Linked DNA regions of Ovis aries. The protein of the gene in region 2 purifies or fractionates together with the protein of the main gene of each other region. This does not show direct contact. Links are inferred from orthologs where the notes say so. Each region holds a gene or a part of one and is shown on either strand. Other genes may lie near its edges.

The links. Proteins that work in one complex are often made in the same cells at the same time.
Region 1: the proteins of PEX19 (region 2) and PXMP2 purify together in Homo sapiens (affinity purification with mass spectrometry; 3 studies listed by BioGRID and IntAct, counting the BioPlex papers as one, with this or other methods). This does not show direct contact. The link is inferred for Ovis aries from reciprocal best matches to the Homo sapiens genes PEX19 and PXMP2.
Region 3: the proteins of PEX19 (region 2) and NAT14 purify together in Homo sapiens (co-immunoprecipitation; 3 studies listed by BioGRID and IntAct, counting the BioPlex papers as one, with this or other methods). This does not show direct contact. The link is inferred for Ovis aries from reciprocal best matches to the Homo sapiens genes PEX19 and NAT14.

The regions. Positions count from the first base shown.
Region 1 is NC_056070.1:44,564,701-44,571,487, reverse strand, and holds the start of PXMP2 (peroxisomal membrane protein 2), read left to right. Parts: upstream 1-2,357; 5' UTR 2,358-2,374; coding exon 2,375-2,496; intron 2,497-4,758; coding exon 4,759-4,875; intron 4,876-6,553; coding exon 6,554-6,716; intron 6,717-6,787. Other genes in the region: POLE (DNA polymerase epsilon catalytic subunit A), read right to left, coding at 1,965-2,026. UniProt on the Homo sapiens protein: Seems to be involved in pore-forming activity and may contribute to the unspecific permeability of the peroxisomal membrane.
Region 2 is NC_056054.1:111,302,378-111,309,260, reverse strand, and holds the start of PEX19 (peroxisomal biogenesis factor 19), read left to right. Parts: upstream 1-2,490; 5' UTR 2,491-2,502; coding exon 2,503-2,572; intron 2,573-3,962; coding exon 3,963-4,072; intron 4,073-4,501; coding exon 4,502-4,667; intron 4,668-5,127; coding exon 5,128-5,213; intron 5,214-5,422; coding exon 5,423-5,584; intron 5,585-6,310; coding exon 6,311-6,487; intron 6,488-6,652; coding exon 6,653-6,697; intron 6,698-6,865; coding exon 6,866-6,883. UniProt on the Homo sapiens protein: Necessary for early peroxisomal biogenesis. Acts both as a cytosolic chaperone and as an import receptor for peroxisomal membrane proteins (PMPs).
Region 3 is NC_056067.1:62,802,678-62,809,578, reverse strand, and holds NAT14 (probable N-acetyltransferase 14), read left to right. Parts: upstream 1-2,471; 5' UTR 2,472-2,543; intron 2,544-2,944; 5' UTR 2,945-2,988; coding exon 2,989-3,060; intron 3,061-3,309; coding exon 3,310-3,405; intron 3,406-3,830; coding exon 3,831-4,379; 3' UTR 4,380-4,979; downstream 4,980-6,901. Other genes in the region: ZNF628 (zinc finger protein 628), read left to right, coding at 1-1,685; soluble scavenger receptor cysteine-rich domain-containing protein SSC5D, read left to right, coding at 5,933-5,957, 6,426-6,452, 6,719-6,901. UniProt on the Homo sapiens protein: Probable acetyltransferase. May act as a transcription factor that regulates the expression of coproporphyrinogen oxidase by binding to a promoter regulatory element.

The DNA.
Region 1 (6,787 bases), on a different chromosome or scaffold from region 2:
CCTTCTCTACTGAAGATTGTTTAATTCTACTCGATTCTGACCCCCTTGCCTAGGGAAAAACTGCAAATGAACCAATACAATCTCCACATTTTACTGATATTCTCCTGTTTACCAACTACATGTGAGCAAACTAGGGTTACAGAAATACCTGTTGTGGTAGAACAAATTGTACCTTAAAAGCATGATATATCTTCTGGGACACCTGAGTCTGGATGTTTGAAGAACCACATATGGATAAGAATGGGGATATAACATTGTTCAGTGTGAGAGGAACTATCTCAACTGACAAAGGAAATCACTTCCCAGCTCAGTTATATCTCCTCAAACCTCCCAAGCCTTTCTCTGCTTAGGGTTAAATAACTGTTTATATAGATTTTATCATAAACCTTAAATTAACTACTTGACAAAGACTTTCCATCAACAGAACTATCCAAATCTATTTTGATTCCAGAGATTGGAATAATCCCAAATTGTTCACAATCTTTAATTTCACAGGTGTGATACCATCTAAATAGAATACAATAATTATGGCTTATCCATCTTCAAAAGAGAATAATTACCATATTGGCATTCCAACTTAAAAAGCAAATGCTATTAATACTTTCTTCTTAAACTGCAGTTCTGAGATTCTGGCCCCTGTATATTTTGGGCTGAAGGCCTCTTTATTAGTTAAGCCAACTATATTCTCCACTCCTTAAAAGTGTACAGCTAAGAATCCATACCCCATGACTTTTCGTCTTAATGTAAATAAATGAGCTACTTTATTATAAATCAATAAGCAGAGAAAATATGTATGTGTCTAGAATGGTGCAGTCTAAGAAAGCTAAATATACAAAACAGAGACTAGTTAGACAAAAAAAAAGATCTGAACCAAGCCTGTGCAGAATTCATGTCTTTAATTACTGTAACATGATTAATTAGTTATTAATTTATAAACAGAGAATTTTGCTTAAGAAAACCTCCTTTGCCTGAAGATACTTCTTGGGTCACCTACACCTAAAGAACAGAATGACCTATTTCAAGATGAGGATCCTTATTTTTCACAAAAAGTTATAGCCACCTGCTGTAGAGAATAATTGACAGCCCCTACACCAAAGATGTCTGTGTCCTAATCCAAGGAACCTCTTATATTACATGACCAAAAGGAGTTTGCAGGTGTGATGACTTTAGGTGTTTTGAGATGGGGATTATCTGGGTGGATCCACTGTAATCATAAGGTTCTTTATAAGAGCCAGAAATTAGAGACAGAGAGGAGAGTGAGGCTGGAAATGCGGCAGTGTTGTTTTTGAAAATAGAGGAAGGAGGCTCTACAAACTACAAAGGGCAAGAGAAGAGATTCTCCCCTAAAGCTTTCAGAACGAACAAAACCCTGTCACATCTTAATTTTAAGGGCTTTTGACCTTAGAACTAAGTCAGAAGCTGCTCCCTTTACTCCGCAGCCTCGCAGACAACGCGGTCAGAGCCGCCCCGACCACGCGAAGCAGTGGGGCTGGACCCGAGAGGCCGGAGCCTTGCAGCCCCACCGCCCTCACTCCAGCACAAGATGCGCCGACCGTGGGCCTGCGGCGCCGACCGGAGATTAGGCTGCAAGGCCTCCGCGCGCGCTCCTAGCATAACCGGACACCCTCAGCTACTACCCTGAGAACTCGTGGGCAGCGCATCAGCAGGAGCCAAGCTATGGCGCTTTCCTCCTCCCCGCCCCCGTCCTAGAGCCGCCCTTCCCCGTTGCGCTGCCGAAGGGCCGCAGGCGGAGGACCTCTGACACGGCGCCAACAAAGAGACGGCGGGGAGAGGGGGCAGCTTCGGAGAGCTGCCGGACTCTCAACCCGGAGCCCACGTCGGGCGGCCGAGTGGAGCGCCGCTCTAGCCGCTGCTCACGGACGACGCGCGCGCTAAGGAGGGGGCGCTCCTGCGCCGCCAGGCCGAAAGGAGGGTCCTTGGCGCCCGCCTGCCACCTGTCTCACCGGCTGGGCTCCCCGTCCGCGCCCGGCTCCGCGCGCAGTCGTCCAGTATTCCTCAGAACCATAGCGCTGAAGCCGCCGCCGCCGCCACTTCCCTGTAGAAATTTGGCGCGCTTGTAATGACTCTCGCGAGAAGCCGGAAGCGCCCCACCGCCCAATCAGGAGGCTCGTCGCACCCCGCCCCAAAAAGCTCCAATCGCCGCCGGCGCCCGAGGGGGCGGTGGCCCGTTAGGGAGTCCGGGAAAAGTGCGCGGAGGTTCGCGTTGCGTATCCAGGGGTCTGTACCCGGCGGCACTGCGCGACGCGGCGGGGCGGGAAATGTCCGGCCGTCCCCGCCCCGCGCCCTGGGGCCCAGAGCCCGACAAGCCAAGAGTGGGGTCTGTGCCCCCGGTGGGCGTGGACCGGGGAAGGCGATGGCGCCGGCGGCGTCGAAGCTGCGGGCGGAGGCTGGACTAGAGCCGCTCCCGCGGCGGGCGCTCTCCCAGTACCTGCGCCTTTTGCGGCTCTACCCAGTACTCACCAAAGCGGCCACCAGGTCTGCGCAGAGAGGCGGAGGAGGGGACTGGACGGGGCCGGTGGGGGCGAGGCGGGGTGCGGGGGTGGGCGCGGCCCAGAGCTCTGTCGGCCGGTGACCCAGCCCCACAGGTACATCCATCCAACGTGGGGGTTTGAATGTGGAAGGCAAAATCCGTGTGTGTCAAAATGACCCTCCAATTGCCTTAAATTAACCAGAACTCTTAGCACGTGCTGTTCTGTATATTTGGTTCCGAGCTGTGACTCGTAAACACCCTAAAATGTGGACCCAGGGGCCAGACTAAAGGAGTGCCCGAGCTGAAGGACTTGCTGCAGGCCTCGGGGCCTCCGGCCCCTCTGCCCCGGAGGTGGCGGTCGTCCGGGGTGAAAGGGGACTGGGGGAAACATCTGTCACCCGCTCGGCTCTGCGCAGGTTCTGCAGCTACCTTCCAGTTCGTTAGTGCCTGCTCTTGTTTTGAGTCCAGGATAGGCTGGGGATTCCCTGGTGGCTCAGTCGGTAAAGAGTCTGCTTGCAATGCAAGAGATCCGGGTTCGATTCCTTTGCCGGGAAGAGCCCCTGAAGAAGGAAATGGCAGCCTATTCCAGTATTCTTGCCTGGGAAATCCCATGGACAGAGGAGCCTGGCGGGCTAGGGCTACAGGCCCTGGGGTCCTAAGAGTCGCACAGGACTTCCCGACTAAACCACAGCCACCACCGGATGGACTAAATGGGTTGAGGTGAACACCTAATTTAGGAAGGGCAAGGAAGGCTAGACCGGGTGGGAGATGTTAAGATATGCTTCAGCAGCTTTGCATTTGGGAGAAAGCTGACACAGTGCCCCCCTTGCTGCGGTTAGGTGGGCCCTTTGATTTGGAGTACTAAACATTTTATGAGACATCCCCCCCTTCCTTTTAATTAATCCATTTTACAAGTTTGTCCCCTTTTATTAATACAGCCTTTCATACATGTGTACAGCTGCTTCCTGTCTGGGGAGCATTAGCGATGATTAAGACAAGTAAGTCCTGTCCCTACCCTCACGGATCTTGCGTTCTAGTAAAGAACTAGTCAAAAAGTAGATAAATGTATAACACAGATAAAGTGGTCAGGGAAGTTTTATTTGAGGAGGTGACACTTAAATAGAAGCCTGAAGAAGGAACAGGCTGTACAAAACAGGGAATCAGAGGTTAGAGGGCACAGCAGGAGCAAAGGTCCTGAGGGAGGAGCAATCTAATAGTGGTGGAGTGGAAGATGGGCCTGTGTTCCTGGAGAAAATGAACAACAGCCAAGGGAGAGGATGAGGAAGAAGTAGTGAAAGATCAGATCAAGAGGCTCCTTGTCTCGTCCAAGAATTTTGGACTTTATAGCTTAGAAAGCTTCTCAGAATGCAGATATAGACCAATTATTGAGCAGCTGGGCCCATCTCCATCTTTCTATTTGAAAGTTTTATTGTGATGATTGTAGATTTACATGTGCGCGTGTGCTAAGTTGCTTCAGTCACGTCTGGCTCTGCGACCCTGTGGACTGTAGCCCACCCAGTTCCTCTGTCCATGGTACTCTCCAGGCAAGAATAACTGGAGTGGGTTGCCAGTCCCTCCTCCTGGAGATTTTCCCAATCCAGGGATCGAACCCGTGTCTCTTGCATCTCCTGCATGGCAGGTTCTTCACCACCTGGGAAGCCCCAGATTCACGTGTAGTTGTAAGAAACAATACAGGGAGATCCCTAGTATACTTGCCCCAATTTCCCCCATTGGCAACATTCTGTAAAACTGTAGTATCACAACCAGGACACTGTATAGACAGCAGACCATAGGACTTATTCAGATTTCCCCAGCTTTTCTTGTACTCTTCCGTGACTGTAGGCATTAAGATCTATGCAGTTTTGTCACATGTATAGGTTTGTGTGTCTACCACTGGAGTCAAAATAAAGAAAATTTTCTTCATAAGGATCCCTTGGCGTTGCCCTTTTATAACTACACAGGGTAACTTTTTCTAAAATTATAGGCTATCATCACAATCCAGATATGACATTTATACAACCCACCGATTGGAAATCTTACCATGCTTCTGTGTGTGTATTAAGTTCTGCCGTCTCCACCTTTTCATGCTGGGAACTTACATTTCGCTGCTCTGATAAGGGTTCATCTCCACCCATCCCCAGCATGTTCTTCGAACCACTGTGCTAATTATGTGCAGGAATAGATGTGCTCCCCGCCCCGCGCCTCCCGCCCCGCGCCTCCAGCCCCGGTAGTTCGCTTCTGTGTTCTGAATACCCCTCTCTCCACAGTGGCATTTTGTCAGCACTTGGGAACTTCCTGGCACAGTTGATTGAGAAGAAGCAGAAAAAAGAAAACTGCTCTCAAAAGCTAGATGTCAGCGGGCCTCTCAGATATGCTATCTATGGGTGAGTTCCATAAAGGGACTGATTTACTCAGTAGCAGGCTAAGTGCGACAAAGCTAGGATATCAACACCTGGAATTACCTAATTCAGAAAAGTAATTTTTAAAAAAGCATTGAAGTCATCGTGGGAGAAAAATCAGAATGATGGATAACGTTAGCTTCACTTGTTTTGTAGTTTTATTTGGTTTTTATTTTGAATTGCATGGGTGAGGGTAGCCATAGTAATTGAGCTGAGAGGCCTGAGGGCACCTAAACCTGAAATCAGACTTCAGGACCCAAAGACTCTGAAAGAGGAAAGCAGACTCAAATATGACCAGTTAGTTTCTGTTGTTAAATTCAGAGCATAACCATTCAGAAAAGAAATCCTTAGGTATCCTGAAAATTGTCGTTTCTGAACTACTTTTTAAATCGCAAAAGCACAGAGATTCAGAAGTTTTATCTATTAAATCCACCCCGAGTTCTCTGGCCAACAACAGTGTTTGTATAGATGGATTTTTAGAAATCTTTTGCAATAAGATTGATTTTTTTTCAATTCAAAATTTGCCCAGAGAGATGTTATGGGGAGGGAGGTGGGAGGGGGGTGCAAAAAAAAAAAAGAAAAAGAAAAAAGAAAAAGAAATAAATAAAAATAAAAATAAATAAATTTAAAATAAAGAAGAAGTAGAAAAACCAAAAAAAAAAATAAAGTGATACATTACAGTGAAAAAAAAATTTGCAAATAACATTTTTTGTATTGTAAGCATGCTAACTTGAGTCGTCACAGCTTTTCCCATATGTATTTAAAGTCCTAATCCCTCCAAAGAGGGGGTGATAATCCCTCCACCTGGAAGTGATTCTGATCCATTCCCCTTATCCAGTCACAGTTTTCCATCCTCAAGACTTCCTGTTTCTCTTCCTTCTAAGAAGCCCTGCTCTGGGCCAGTTAACATTCTCTGAGAGGGTGGAGAAAGACAAGGGAAAACCATTTTTTTAAAGGCTTGGCACTGTGGAGCTAGAAGGCCCCTGGGCCCCTGCTCATCTTTTGATTCTGGATTTCATGGAATCTCAGATCTGTTGATCCTGTAGACATGGTGGCAGGGTTCAGTTTTCTTCCTGTGCTGTTTGAAATGAAAAATAATATAGACAAGCCAGCACACAGCACCAGGTCTCAGCCCTGATAATGATCGTAGAGAGTTTGATAAAAAGCTCTGACACCTGGGATGCTTCTGTTTATTTACCGAGCATCTCTGAGCCAGGCCATGTTCCAGACAGAGCAGTGAACAGACAGACATGATCCTGCCTTGTGGCGTTTACCTTCTAAGGGTGAAGAGAGGGCACTGTATAAACAAATAAGACCATGACATCCAGTGATAAATGCTTTGAAGAAAATGGACAGGGCCTAGAATAGAGAGTGGCTGGGACAGTGGTAGGTTTATTATTCAGGACCATTGGAAGGCACTCTCTGAGCCAACAATGTTGAGAAGGAGCCAGCCATGTGATGACAAGGGGGTGCAAAGCAGGAACAAGCCTGGTCTGTCAGTGGCAAAAATGAATGCCTGGAGCAGATGCATTGAAAGCATGTTTTCTAGAAGGGCCACACAGACCTCTGTGGTCAGCGCTGAGGGACTCCAGGGAGGCAGGTTTTAGGATCTGGGGTTTGAGGGTGAAGGGTGTGTCCAACTCACCCCCACCGCGGGCCTCAGGTTTTTTTTTACAGGGCCGCTGGGTCACTTCTTCTACCTCTTGATGGAGCGCTGGATCCCTTCCGATGTCCCCTTGGCAGGCATCAAGAGGCTCCTCCTGGACCGCCTTCTCTTCGCACCTGCCTTCCTGTCTTTGTTCTTCCTTGTCATGAACTTCCTGGAGGTTGGTCTCTAGCACTCATGCATGCCAGCTGTTCGTTGGCATAAGGATGCTGTGGTTGGAATTCAGAGGGT
Region 2 (6,883 bases):
CACATAGGATCTTGAACACCAGTAGATGCCCTCTAAGTGGTAAAGTAGGTTTGTCTAGGCAGTTGATGCATTCTGGCAGATCTAAATAGAACAATTCCAGAGAAGGGAAGGGATGTCTGGAGTTGTCTTTATCTGAGCCTCCCCCAACTACACATGATTGACTTTTGTGTAGAGCAAAGGCCATAGGTCGGAGAAGTTCAGTTCAGTTGCTCAGTCATGTCCAACTCTTAGTGACCCCATGGACTGCAGCACGCAGGCTTCCCTGTCCATCACCAACTCCAGAAGCTTGCTCAAACTCATGTCCATCGAGTCGGTGATGCATCCAACCATCTCATCCTCTGTCATCCCCTTCTCCCTCTGCCTTCAATCTTTCCCAGCATCAGGGTCTTTCCCAAGGAGTCAGTTCTTCGTATCAGGTGGCCAAAGTATTGGAGTTTCAGCTTCAGCATCAGTCCTTCCAGTGAATACTCAGGTCTGATTTCCTTTAGGATTGACTGGTTGGATCTCCTTGCAGTCCAAGGGACTCTCAAGAGTCTTCTCCAACACCACAGTTCAAAAGCATCAATTCTTCAATGCTCAGCTTTCTTTATACTCCAACTTTCATATCTGTACATGACTACTGGAAAAACCATAGCTTTGACTAGATGGACCTTTGTGGCAAAGTAATATCTCTGCTTTTTAATATGCTGTCTAGGTTGGTCATAGCTTCTCTTCCAAGGAGCAAGTGTCCTCTTCGAATGAGCAAGCCGATTGCAGACGGCTACAGTCACTGTCTGCAGTGATCCTGGAGCCCAAGAAAATAAATTCTCTCACTGTTTCCCTTGTTTCCCATCTATTTGCCATGAAGTGATGGGACCAGTACTCTTGCCTGGAAAATCCTATGGATGGAGGAGCCTGGTAGGCTGCAATCCATGGGGTCACTAAGAGTCGCACACGACTGAGCGACTTCACTTTCACTCTTCACTTTCACGCATTGGAGAAGGAAATGGCAACCCACTCCAGTGTTCTTGCCTGGAGAATCCCAGGGACAGGGGAGCCTGATGGGCTGCCGTCTATGGGGTCGCACAGAGTCAGACAGGACTGAAGCGACTTAGCAGCAGCAGCAGCAGATGGGACCAGATGCATTATCTTAGTTTTCTGAATACTGAGTTTTAAGCCAACTTTTTCACTCTCCTGTTTCACTTTCATCAAGAAAGTGAAAGAAAAAAAGAAAGTGAAAGAGGCTCTTTAGTTCTTCTTCACTTTCTGCCATAAGGGTGGTGTCATCTGCATGCCTGAGGTTATTGATATTTCTCCCAGCAATCTTGTTTCCAGCTCCTGTTTCATCCAGCCCAGTGTTTCTCATGATGTATTTTGCATATAAGTTAAATAAGCAGGATGACAATATACAGTCTTGGTGGATTCCCTTCCCTATTGGGAACCACTCTGTTGTTCCATGTCCTGTTCTAACTGTTGCTTCTTGACCTGCATACAGATTTCTCAGGAGACAGGTCAGGTGGTCTGGTATTCCCATCTCTTGAAGAATTTTCCACAGTTTGTTGTGAACCAGAGTCAAAGGCTTTGGCGTAGTCAATAAAGCACAAGTAGATGTTTTTCTGTTCAGGGAAGGAACTCTACAGTACCTTTTTGCTTAATCCAAAGTCCAAGAGTCGCTTTTCTACCCGATTTGATTAGACTAATATCGAGTTCTAAGTTCTTGGCCCTGTGATAGTTTTAATGGGGTACAGGAAATGTGAGATAGCCAGTAGATTCTGCAGAGAAACATGCCTCTTTAGGATCTGAGAGAGCAAAGAGTAGACAATGAATGCCCAAATTTTAATCCCCAGCCCAGGAGCTAGGGATGCAGCAGTGAAGATGACGGATGAAAATCCTTGCCATCATCGTGCTTAAACTGCAAAGGGCTTAACGGGAGATAAAAACGATAAATAAGTAAAACGTATAGTATGTCACATAGAGGTAAGTTTTGAGAGAAATGGAGGGAAAGTGGGCAGGATTTGTATATGTATGTGTGTGGGAAGGGTTGCAGTTTTATTTAGTGAGGCCAAAGAAGGCATTTCAGAGAAGATGACATATGAGTAAAATACTGAAGTGAGAGAAAACTACCATGTTGGGTATACCGTAACTTCCTTATTGATTACAAACGCAGAGCTTCTGGTGGCTCGTGGGCAGTTTGTGCCAATTTGGCATACCCACAGCTCTGGAAAAAAATAATAAGAAAGCCAGGTAATGTGGGAAGTTGAAAGAAAGGAAGCCAGGCCAGTAAAAACAAAAACAAAAAAAAACCTGGCAGAAGGTAAGAGCAAACTCACCTCTGTTAGGTCAGCGTGCCAGTAGAAAGAAGAGGGGTGGCGGGGGCGGGAATCGGAGCATCCTGTCCCTTTAAAAATGGCGGCCCGGCACGGACCAACAATACCATTGGTTGCGCGAGCAGAGGGGGCGGGCACAGGGGCGGGGCGCGGAGCCTCGGAGTCCCACCTCCTACGGCAAGTCAGAGGTGGCAAGATGGCCGCGGCTGAGGGGGACGGTGGTGTCCGGGCCGAAGCCGACCGGGAATTGGAAGAGCTTCTGGAAAGTAAGAGCCCGTCATGGGAAAGCCCCAAAGAGGGCGGATGTAAGGATCCATTCAGGGGGTTAAGTAAACCTGCGATGTTTGGGGCGGAGTAAGAAAGGCTCTCCAAAGGCTGGACGGGGGCGGAGAGTCTGACTGCGACCCTCGAGAAAATCTCTGGGTCACCCTCTCCTTCCTCTGCAGCGGTAGTTGAGGAGTTCTCTCTGGGTCCCTGAACGGCCCACACTGTTGATCGCCCTGCCGGAGGGGAAGCTAACCCAGAGGACGTTTCACGCTCCCTCTCCAAACTCCCCTTACTTTAGTAAGTTCTGAAGTCTGACTTTCTCCCCACCAGCAGCAGCATTTGGTCCTCAGGGGGCAGCGAACCGAACAACCACGAATTGCTTCCATTAACTATTAGGAAGCCTGTAGTGCGTTCTTCTGTTAACTGTCCTGCCCTCCTTAACAGAAAAGACACTCCTTTTTTTCTCCCAGTCCTTTCATCCACCAGGCCCCTTTCCAGTTCTTTCATCATGTCAGAGCTCAAACCCTTCCCATTAGTTTGAAAAACAGGATGAGACAGCCTCAGGGGAAGACAGTTCACTCTGGAAAGAAGGTGGCTGTACTTTTCCTCCTCAGCCCTGCCATCCACTCCTGTCTGGTTTGGTTTCTTGTCCAGAGTGGGGCTGGTGTCTTTCCCCCTAGGCCTGGCAAATATAGTGGTGGTGAGAACACAGGCTTTTCAGGGTCGAGGTGAATATTTATTGTCTCTTGCTCAGTCACAGAGTGGGCAGGCGGAAAGGTGAACAGAAATGGTGAGAAGTGCTAAGTGACTGTGTGAGTCTGCAGAGATGAGACCACAGGGAGCTCTAGCAACTCTGGGGAGGGAGACCTAAATTGAAAGAGAAAAGAGAGTTCAGGGCCCTCCCGTGGAGTATAATATGGAGTCCCTCAGTTTGTACCAGGACCCATGGGAAGCTGGGTGAAACATCTTAAGGCTTCTGCTCTCTTGCCAAAGATTATTCCTTGTAGGGCTCCAGAGTGAGTTCTAGGGGGGTTAAGGACATCTGTGTTCTCTGTTTCTCTTGAATATCTGTATGGGATTTCTAGGAACCATTAAAGTATGGCAAAGAGGCATTGTGTAGATGAACTGTCCTCTTACAGCTTTGAGAGATGTTTTTTTACACCTTAAGAGACTTCTTCCCCTGTGATTACAGTATGTTAGGTAATGGGGAGGGGGAGGGAGAAGCTTATTGAGGAGTGGGTCAGGAGAGGGAGACTCAAAAAAAAGGAGAGCATTTTAGGAAGGTTGGCAGCTTGAAAGATTGTTTTCTTAATGCTTTGCTCAGAAACCCCTCTAGCCTTGCATTCTCATCCATCACCAACACATACACTGTGTCTCTTGTCTCTGAAGGTGCTCTTGATGATTTCGATAAGGCCAAACCCTCCCCAGCACCCCCTCCTACCACCACGGCCCCTGATGCTTCAGGGCCCCAGAAGAGATCGCCAGGAGACACTGCCAAAGTATAAATTCCACCCACTTAAGGGATGGGGAGGGTGTGGGCGTGCAGCTCCAAGCAGAGGTGGGGCAGGCCTTTGTGGGCCAGAGGGGAGTCGGGGAGGGTGCCTTGGCCTCACATTGGTGAGTGCTCTTGCAGGCCTCAGTCCTTGTGAAACAGGGACTTGAGATTGAGTACAGGGATCTCAAGGAAGTTCCTTAAGAAAAGAACAGATTTAAATGGTTGGATTGGGAATACCAGCCCATAGCCTTCCCTTAGTGGCCAGATGGCCTTTTTGCTGTTCTCATGAAGGGAAGTAGTCAGAATGCCCAATGGAGGTGGGTAGGAGGGAAGCACTGCACCTCCCAGCGCCACTGCCTGTGGCTTCTGTCAGAAACCATGTACACTGGGGTGCCAAGTAAGAGATGCGCTTTGGCCACATTCTCCCCTGCAGGATGCCCTCTTCGCCTCCCAGGAGAAGTTTTTCCAGGAACTGTTTGACAGTGAGCTGGCTTCCCAAGCCACTGCAGAGTTTGAGAAAGCAATGAAAGAGTTGGCTGAGGAAGAGCCCCACCTGGTAGAGCAGTTCCAAAAGCTTTCAGAGGCTGCTGGGAGAGTAGGTAAGGAAGAGAAACAGTGCGAAATATCTGAACAAACCTCTTGGGTTATTGTCCCTTGACAACACCAAAATTTTTTGTAAAAGTTGACAGTAATTATGATACCACTGCCATGGGATGGGGGAGGAGATGGAAGGAAAAAGGAGACCCTGTTTAATGAAAGGGGTGAGATAGGTTGGAAAGTAACAGAAAAGATTATTGAAAAGTGATAATTTCATTTTTATTTATTTATTTTGAAAAGTGATAATTTTAAAGATCAGTGTTAATGTGGGTGTCATTGTAGAGAACAAACTGAGACACAGTCCATGTAGATTTATGAAAATAACTATGAAGATAAACGTATTCAAAGATTTGGAGTGTAGCAATTCACTAGTAAATGCTCCATGTCCAAGCTGGTAACCAGGTCAGTCTTAAGCAAGCAGTTAAAATCCTAAATGACCTAGGCTCTTTTCATCTCTCCCAGGCAGTGATGCGACTTCCCAACAAGAATTCACCTCTTGCCTAAAGGAGACGTTAAGTGGACTAGCCAAGAATGCCACTGACCTTCAGGTGAGAGGGAAGATGGGGAACCACATGGGTCCCACTCACAGAGATTTCACCGGCAGAGCCTCAAAAGACAGACTCTCTTGGGTGTCATCTCAAGTCTGTTCTTGCTTATTTTGCTACAGGCATGTTTAAATAGTTCTTTCCCACCTGAAAAGTTGGTTAGTGTCCCAAGAAGGTGGTATACTTGCTCATTTCTCTTCTGTTCTTTCTAGAACTCTGGCATGTCAGAAGAGGAACTGACCAAGGCCATGGAAGGGCTGGGCATGGACGAAGGGGATGGGGAAGGGACCATCCTCCCCATCATGCAGAGTATCATGCAGAACCTACTGTCCAAGGATGTGCTGTACCCATCACTGAAGGAAATCACAGAAAAGGTTTGTGAGCTTCTGTTTATGCTTTTCCTCCTTATTCCTCATTGTATCAATTCCCATGGGCTACTTTGTCTATTTAGAAACTGTAAAGACAGAGTAACTCAAGTGTACAGGTTCATCTGTTTTTTTTTTTTTCCCCTTTGTTTATTTATTTGGAAGGGGAGAGTTAGGGAGGAGTTGTGTCTCCAAGAGAATAAAGCTACTTTACTGAGAATATTTAAGGTAGAAGGAGAAATCCTTCAGCTAATAGTTTTCTGTAAACTAGTCTAAGACTCTGTTGTTGTCTGATCAACTCCTTCTTGCATTTCCAATTTCATTCATTTCTCCAACAAGATGTCACTGATGGTTTACTGACTTTATGCTGTGAACAATTGTAAGAGTAGTTTAAATGATGGTCTCTGGCATCAAAGGGTTTATAGTGTTACTGGAGAGACTTTTAAAAGTTGTTAAACACAAAAGAAGGAGTATGTGACTGAAACCATATGTGGCCCTTAAAGCCTCAAATATTGACTGTCTGGCTCGTCACAGAAAAAGTTTGTCATAAATGGTGACCATAAATGGTAGCATAGCCAGGTGATGATTGATTGAAGTCAGTGCTGCTTCTCATGCTGAACTTATTTAGTTTTTCCTTCTCCTCTGTTTCTGGCCCCTTTGTGTTCTTTGTATTTTATTCCCCTTACTTATGCATTCTTCACTTAATTCTTCACCACCCATTTTCTGTTTACTTAGTATCCAGAATGGTTGCAGGCTCACCGAGACTCTCTACCTCCAGAGCAATTTGAAAAATATCAGGAACAACATAGTGTCATGGGCAAAATATGTGAGCAGTTTGAGGCAGAGACCCCCACAGACACTGAGGCCACTCAGAAGGCTCGTTTTGAGGTGGTGCTGGATCTTATGCAGCAGGTAAGGCCTCCGTTTGCTGTGTGCCCGCTGCTTCTGTGTGCTTGAGTGTTCATTGCAGGCGGATCCTGAAAGGAGGCCACACTGCCAAACCAAAGTGGAGGAGGGAGCACAGGGGAGGCCACAAAGCATGGTCTTACCTCGTGTTCCTCTTTCTTTATTTTCCAGCTACAAGATTTGGGCCATCCTCCAAAAGAGCTTGCTGGGGAGATGGTGAGTATACCATCTTGCAGACTTTAATCTGAGCCCAAGTTTCTATTATTCTGTAACCTTTAGTGATTCCACCCAAGGTAATAATAGTGGCTGCAGGGGACAGACCTTCAAAAGCTCTAACTTTTTGAAATGGGAGGAGTTATCTGAGTCCCTTCATCTCTTCTCCAGCCTCCTGGCCTCAACTTT
Region 3 (6,901 bases), on a different chromosome or scaffold from region 2:
GCTACCACCTGCGGGACCACACGGGCGAGCGGCCCTACCAGTGCGGCGAGTGCGGCAAGGCCTTCAAGCGCTCATCGCTGCTCGCCATCCACCAGCGTGTGCACACGGGCCTGCGCGCCTTCACCTGCGGCCAGTGCGGCCTCACCTTCAAGTGGTCCTCGCACTACCAGTACCACCTGCGGCTACACTCGGGCGAGCGGCCCTACGCCTGCGGCGAGTGCGGCAAGGCCTTCCGCAACACGTCATGCCTGCGCCGCCACCGGCACGTGCACACGGGCGAGCGGCCCCACGCCTGCGGCGTGTGCGGCAAAAGCTTCGCGCAGACCTCCAACCTGCGGCAGCACCAGCGCGTGCACACGGGCGAGAGGCCCTTCCGCTGCCCGCTCTGCCCCAAGACCTTCACGCACTCCTCCAACCTGCTGCTGCACCAGCGCACGCACTCGGCCGAGCGGCCCTTCACCTGCCCGGTCTGCGGCCGCAGCTTCGTCATGGCTGCCTACCTGCAGCGGCACCTGAGGACGCATGCCCCCGCGGCCCCCGCGGCCGGCCCTCAGCCCCCGGCCCCGCTGGCCGCCGCCCCTGCCCCGTCGGCCACCCAGGATGTGCACGTCCTCCCCCACCTCCAGGCCACGCTCTCCCTAGAGGTGGCTGGGGGGACGGCCCCGGCCGCGGCCCCCGGCCCCGCCGCTCCCAACTCGCAGACTTTTCTCCTGGTGCAGACGGCTCAGGGCCTGCAGCTGATTCCCAGCAGCGTCCAGCCGCCCACGCCCCCGCCCCCGCCAGCACCCCCCAAGCTCATCCTGCTGCCCTCCTCCGGCCCCGCCGGGGGAGGCAGCTGCGCCCGGCAAGGCCCGCGGGCCGCGGGGAAAGCTGGGCCGGGGGCTGGAGTAGTCTGGCTGCCGGGCCCTGGGGGGTTAGGAGTGCAGAGAGGAAGCAACGCTGCGGGGAACGTGGGAGGGCAGAGCCTCATAGTTCTGCAGAACGTGGCGGGTGGGGAAACAGGCCCACAGGAAGTGAGTGGGGTTCAGCTCCAGCCCCTTCGTCCAGCCCCGGAACTGACCACCGTCCAACTCCAGCCGGCCCAGGAGGTGACCACGGTCCAGCTCCAGCCTGTGACGGGTCCGCTGTCCAGTTCCAGCGGGGGAGCCGTGACCACCGAGGCGCCTAATCTGCTAGTGGTTCAGAGCGGGGCAGCTGAGGAGTTACTGGCGGACCCCGGCCCAGTGGAGCCTGGCGAGGGCGAGGCCGGCCCGGGGGTAGTCCCAGATGTGCTCTTTGAGACGCTGCAGACGGAGGAGGGACTGCAGAGCGTGCTGGTGCTGAGCGGGGCCGACGGGGAGCAGACCCAGCTGTGTGTGCAGGAGGTAGAGACCTTACCGTCGGGTCTGGCCGAGCCGCCCGCCTCAGGCCCGCCCGGACAGAAGCTGCTCATTATCCGCAGCGCCCCAGCCGCAGAGTTGCTGGAGAACGGCAGCGCTGGGGGAGGCGCCGCTGCGCTGCAGCTACTGGCGCCCCCCCCACCTGGCCCAGCCTCTGCTCCTGCGGGCGTCCCTGCGGCCCCGGGCCCCCAGATGGTACAAGTGGTCCCCGCAGGAGCGGCACCCGGGGGCGTGGCCCCACAGGGCCTGCCTTCCATCCAGATTGTCCAGACTCTGCCCGCGGTCCAGCTGGTGCACACGTTTTGAGTCGGACCACGGGTATCTCTTCCCGCCCCACGAAGAGGCCCCCACCCCATCGCCGCCTGGGCTGGGCTGGGCGGAGGGAGCTGCAGGCTGGGCTTGCAAATAAAGACCAGAATCCCCTCTCGTGTTTTTTCTTCTTATTGATGGGGTGGGAGGTCAATGTCATGCCCATAGCCACCACTTGGGAACTGGTGGGGTCCCCTGCTTCCTGGTTCGCAGGTGACTTTGCGTCTTGGGGCCAGCCGCTGCTCCTTTGTGGGGGCCCTGTTTATCCATTTTTTAAGAAAAGGGACGCAACAGTCACGGTATGGGGGAGGCGCTGGAATCTGGAACCCCGGTTCTGCCACTTCCTCTGTAAGTCACTGCACCCCTCCTCGTGCAGAAAAATAGGTGGATGGCGGGACTGCTTATCCCAACGGTCACTGAGAGCCCTGGTGGGCAGGTGGGGAACCTGTGGGTCTGAGACGCTGTCGCGGCCCCGCCCGCGAAAGCCGGGGAGCCAGTGGGAATCAAGCCGCCTTCGCGGCCTCACCCCCGCGCTCAGGTCGCTTAGCAACCAGAGGCCTTCGGGAAGCCGGCCGGGGCGCGCGCTGGGTAAGCCCCGCTGCCCGCCCACAGCCGGTCTATAGTTCCAGGCCCTTCAGTCCGGCCCCCTCCCCTGCCAGCGTCCCGCACGCCAGCTCTCTCCGCCGCTCCTCCCGGCTCTAACCCGTCAGGCCGGACGCTTGGCAACGGTTGCTAAGGCCGAGAGCAGGCACCGCCCCGCTCCCAGCGCGCGGGTCTGACGTCACTTCCGCCGGCGACCCCTCCCCGACCCTGCCACCCCCCGCATCTTGTTAAAAGCCGGAGCGACCCACAGAGGTGTCTGAAAGTCCTCGTTCCTGCCACAGGCGCCGCTCGGGGGCGGCCGGGGGCAGAGGCCCTGGGAGCGGGGAGCGCGGTCCTTTCCCTGGCTGGGGGGGGTTCACTTACCCCCAGGGCAGCTGCGGGGCCTGGAGGCAGCGCGCTGTTGGCAGGTGTTGGCGGGCACCAGGCTTTTAGGCGTGGGTCGCCGAATACCGCCTGGGGCGAGGGCTTCACCCGAGAGGCTTTCGGAAGGTCGCTGGGTTGACCGGGAAGCCTGTTCTGTCTCGGGCCTCGCCTGGAGGCCGCCAGCATCCCGCTTCCTGACCTGGACACGCTGCCGCTGCTGGCCCGCAGCTCTGGGGCACTTTGGGGAACAAGAGGTGCCCTCCTGACACTGACCTGCTTGTTTTCGCCAGGTGCACGCCTGCTCCTTTGGGGGCGCGGGAGCCTGGGGGCTGCCATGGCCCCCAGCCACCTGTCGGTGCGGGAGATGAGGGAAGATGAAAAACCCTTAGTGCTGGAAATGCTGAAGGTGAGAGTCATTAGCAGCGCCACTGAGCCCGGGGGCGTGGGACGGAGGGTACCACTTGGGGGTGGGGGGCGGGAACCTAGAAAGCCCGGGAGGGGCGGGGACAGAATGGGGACACCAATGAGCTTGGGAGGGCGGGGACAGAATGAGGGGCACCAGGGAGCCCGGGAGGGGGCGGGGGGGCATCCCGAGTGGCTTCAGCCACCCTCCTGAGCCAGCGGTGACCCTGGAAATCAATCTTTTGCTCCTAAGGCACTTCCAGCCTTGGACCCTCCTCTTTCTAGTGCCTTCTCCCTAACCTGGAGATTGAGAACGGTTTTGGGTGTGTGTGTGTGGCCACGCCACATGGTACGCGGGATGGTAGTGCTCCCCGATCATGGATCCAAGCCGTAACCCGCGCAGTACAAGCCCTTCCATCTCCTCACTTCCCCTCAGCCCTGTGCCCCGGCCTCCTCCTCCTCCAAGCCTGGCCCTCGAGGACCCCCAGGCCCTTCCAGCTTCCCCGCTCGGTGGGGCCGCGCCTCTGTCCAGTCTCCCCTGTTGCCTCACGCCTGCAACTCCACTGAACCCGGAGCGCCCACCGTTCCTAATTCACCAGCTCCCTCATTCAGAGCCCAGTGTGCCAGCCAGCAGTGTGTTCACGCCACGGCAAGCTTGCCACAGGCCCCGGCTCACTGCTGTCCCCTCCCCTCCGATTGCTCCCACCCCAGGCAGGGCCTGCCTCCGCCCCCACTGCCTGCCTCCCCCACGCTGACTGCTCCTCCTGCCCGCAGGCTGGCGTGAAGGACACAGAGAACCGCGTGGCCCTTCATGCACTGACCCGGCCGCCGGCCCTGCTCCTCCTGGCTGCGGCCAGCAGCGGCCTTCGCTTCGTCCTGGCCTCCTTCGCCCTGGCCCTCCTCCTGCCCGTGTTCCTGGCTGTGGCGGCCATGAAGCTGGGCCTGCGGGCCCGCTGGGGCTCGCTGCCCCCGCCCGGCGGCCTCGGGGGGCCGTGGGTGGCAGTCCGGGGCTCGGGGGACGTGTGTGGGGTCCTGGCCCTGGCCCCAGGCACCGGTGCTGGGGATGGGGCCCGGGTCACCCGCCTCTCGGTATCCCGTTGGCACCGCCGCCGAGGCGTAGGCAGGCGCCTGCTGGCCTTTGCCGAGTCCCGGGCGCGAGCCTGGGCTGGCGGCATGGGGGAACCCCGGGCGCGCCTGGTGGTCCCGGTGGCCGTGGCAGCCTGGGGCGTGGCCGGGATGCTGGAGGGCTGTGGCTACCAGGCCGAGCGGAGCTGGGGCTGCATGGGCTACACGCTGGTGCGCGAGTTCAGCAAGGAACTGTGACTGCAGACCCTAGCAGGAGGAAAAGCAGCACTTAGTGAGCACCTGCTGTGTGCAGGCACTTCCACACCATCCTTACCCCCCCCCCCCCCCGCCAGGGCCCAGCAGCTGAGGCCCGCAGAGGGCAAGAGACCCTGCCACAGCCTGATGCCCATCCATAGTGTTTGAACTTCTTAGAGAGTTCAACCCGTCCAACCCCTGCCTCAGATTCTGTCTGCGCAGAGAAATCTTATCTGTCTGTCTGCCAAGCCTGTGTTGCTTGTGCTATGACATGTGGCAGGAGAGGAGGCCGAGCAAGTACGCCCCCCACTGGGGTTAGGACTTGGCAGGGGTACCCCAAACAGGGACGAGGGCCCCCCTCAGCCCCGGGGAGGTAGGGTGGGGGGCGATGCCCATGCTTGGAAGGGGTGAGGCTGCAGAGGCAGAGAGGGGCTGAGCAAAGCTTCTGCAGGGGAGTGTTGTCTGCCTGGAGAGAGCCCCGGGGAGGGGGTGGTGGGCACAGGGCTGCCTGCCCAGCCCCTCCCCAGGAAGGTGGGAGCCCAGAGGGGCGGCCAGACCCATCTGGTTTTTTACACCCGTTTGTTAATAAAGCCTGTAACCGCTGCTCGCCATCTCTCTCTGATGCCTTTTCCAGTCTGCCTCCACACCCACCATTTCTGTCTGGCCCCTCCTTCCCGAGGTTGACAGTAATTGTCGGGAGGGGGGAGTGTGCTGGACTGGGGGCAGGGGAGGCGATGAGCTCAGGCAGCCCAGCTCCCTGCCAGCCCTCTGACTCACGCTCCCCATTACCGAATTTTTTCCGCCTCACAGCTGCTTAGTGCAGAGAGAGAGAGAGAAAGAGTACGTTCCTGTGCGTGTGTGTGTGTGTTGTGTGTGTGTGTGTGTGTGTGTGCAGTCGTCCTCCCCCACCCAAGTCTTGACCCTTGGCCCTCTCGACCCCTGACCCCAGTTTTCTTGGGAGACACACAGAGGGCTGATGACTTCTGCCTGCAAATCCACCAGGGGGAATGGAGAAGGGAGTCTCTCTGTCTCCTTTCCCAGTCCAGGAAGTCCTTCCTGGTGTCTGCCTGCAAGCCCTCTTGCTGCACCAGGTCCCCAACCCGGCAGCTGATGTGAGCCCACCCTCAAAGCCCTCTGCTTCCGGCACACCACCCTGGCGGGACAGGAGAAGCAGCAGATGGGTGGGCGCCCCGCCCTCGCACCCTGTCAGGATCCTCCCCTGCAGCCTGCTGCCCCCCAAGCCTGAGTGCGGCACTTCTGGCCAGCCGGCTGTCTCCTGTGTGGGTGTCTGCAGTTGGACACCCTCCCTCCCGCCCTCCACCGCCCTCCTCCACAGGCCTCAGCCGCCGGCCAGCCCCCTCCCCGCCCCGCTCCTGTCCCCTGCTGCCTCCTCGGCAGCCTCTCTTCCTCCTGCAGAGCGTCCAGCCCCCGCCCGCTCCTCCCCGGGTCCAGGGCTCCTCTGGCAGGCGCTCCCCTCCCTCCTGCGTCGGCGGTCCCCTCCTCCTAGCTCCTGCTCCCGTCCACTTCCACCCTGTCCCCACCCTGACTCTGCAAACATGAGGGTCCTGGCCTGCCTCCTCGGTGAGTGACCCTTCCCCTCCTCCGGGACTCAGGGTCCCCGGGCCGGGCCCTCTGACCCCTGAGCTGACCCACTGCAGAGCCTCTGAGTTCCAGGGCCCCGTCCCTGTTGCTTGGTGGGGGGGATGTGGGGGAGCACAGGACATCTGGCTGCCTCTGACTGATCCTCCAGGGACCTGGCCTCAGGCACCCTGAGTCCCACCTTCTCAGGAGACCCCAGGACTTCCTCTCCCCTCCATGAGCCCTGACCCTGCAGAGGGGGTTCACCCATCATTCACCTTTAGCCAGGCCCCCAGTGGGGAGAGCCAAGGGCCTGGCCCCCTGCCCAGACCTGAGGCCTCCGGGCTCCACCCATCCCAAGGACCTGGGCCTCGGCCAGGCGCTGGGCCCAAGTCCTCCTTCCCGGCGGCGGGGTTTCTGGTTCAGAGGAGCGAGGACCTCACTGCCTCACCCCTCCAACCTCCCTTCCAGTGGCTTTGATGGGGACCCAGGCTGTTGGTAAGTGGCCCCAAACACGTCTCCCATCTGGGTGCGCTCAGCTCCAAGCCTTCCCCACGCCCGGCCTGGGCTCACCCTCCCTTGGACCCTGGCCACCCTCGTGTGCCCACGACCCCCACACCACTTCTGCAGGACCACACGGTCACCCAGCTTCCTGCTTCCTAAGGGGCTCCCGGTCATGCCCCTGCAGGACAGCCCCCAGCCCCTGCCCTGCCCGCCAGTCCCGGGGTCTCCAGGATGTCACAGCCTCTCCTCCGTCCCTGCAGAGCGGCTGCGTCTGGCTGATGGGCCCCATGGGTGTGCGGGCCGCCTGGAGGTGTGGCACGGTGGGCGCTGGGGCACCGTGTGCGACGACGGCTGGGACCTGCGGGACGCTGCTGTGGCCTGCCGGGAGCTGGGCTGCGGGGGTGCGCTGGCCGCCCCCGGGGGCGCCTTCTTCGGGGAGGGTG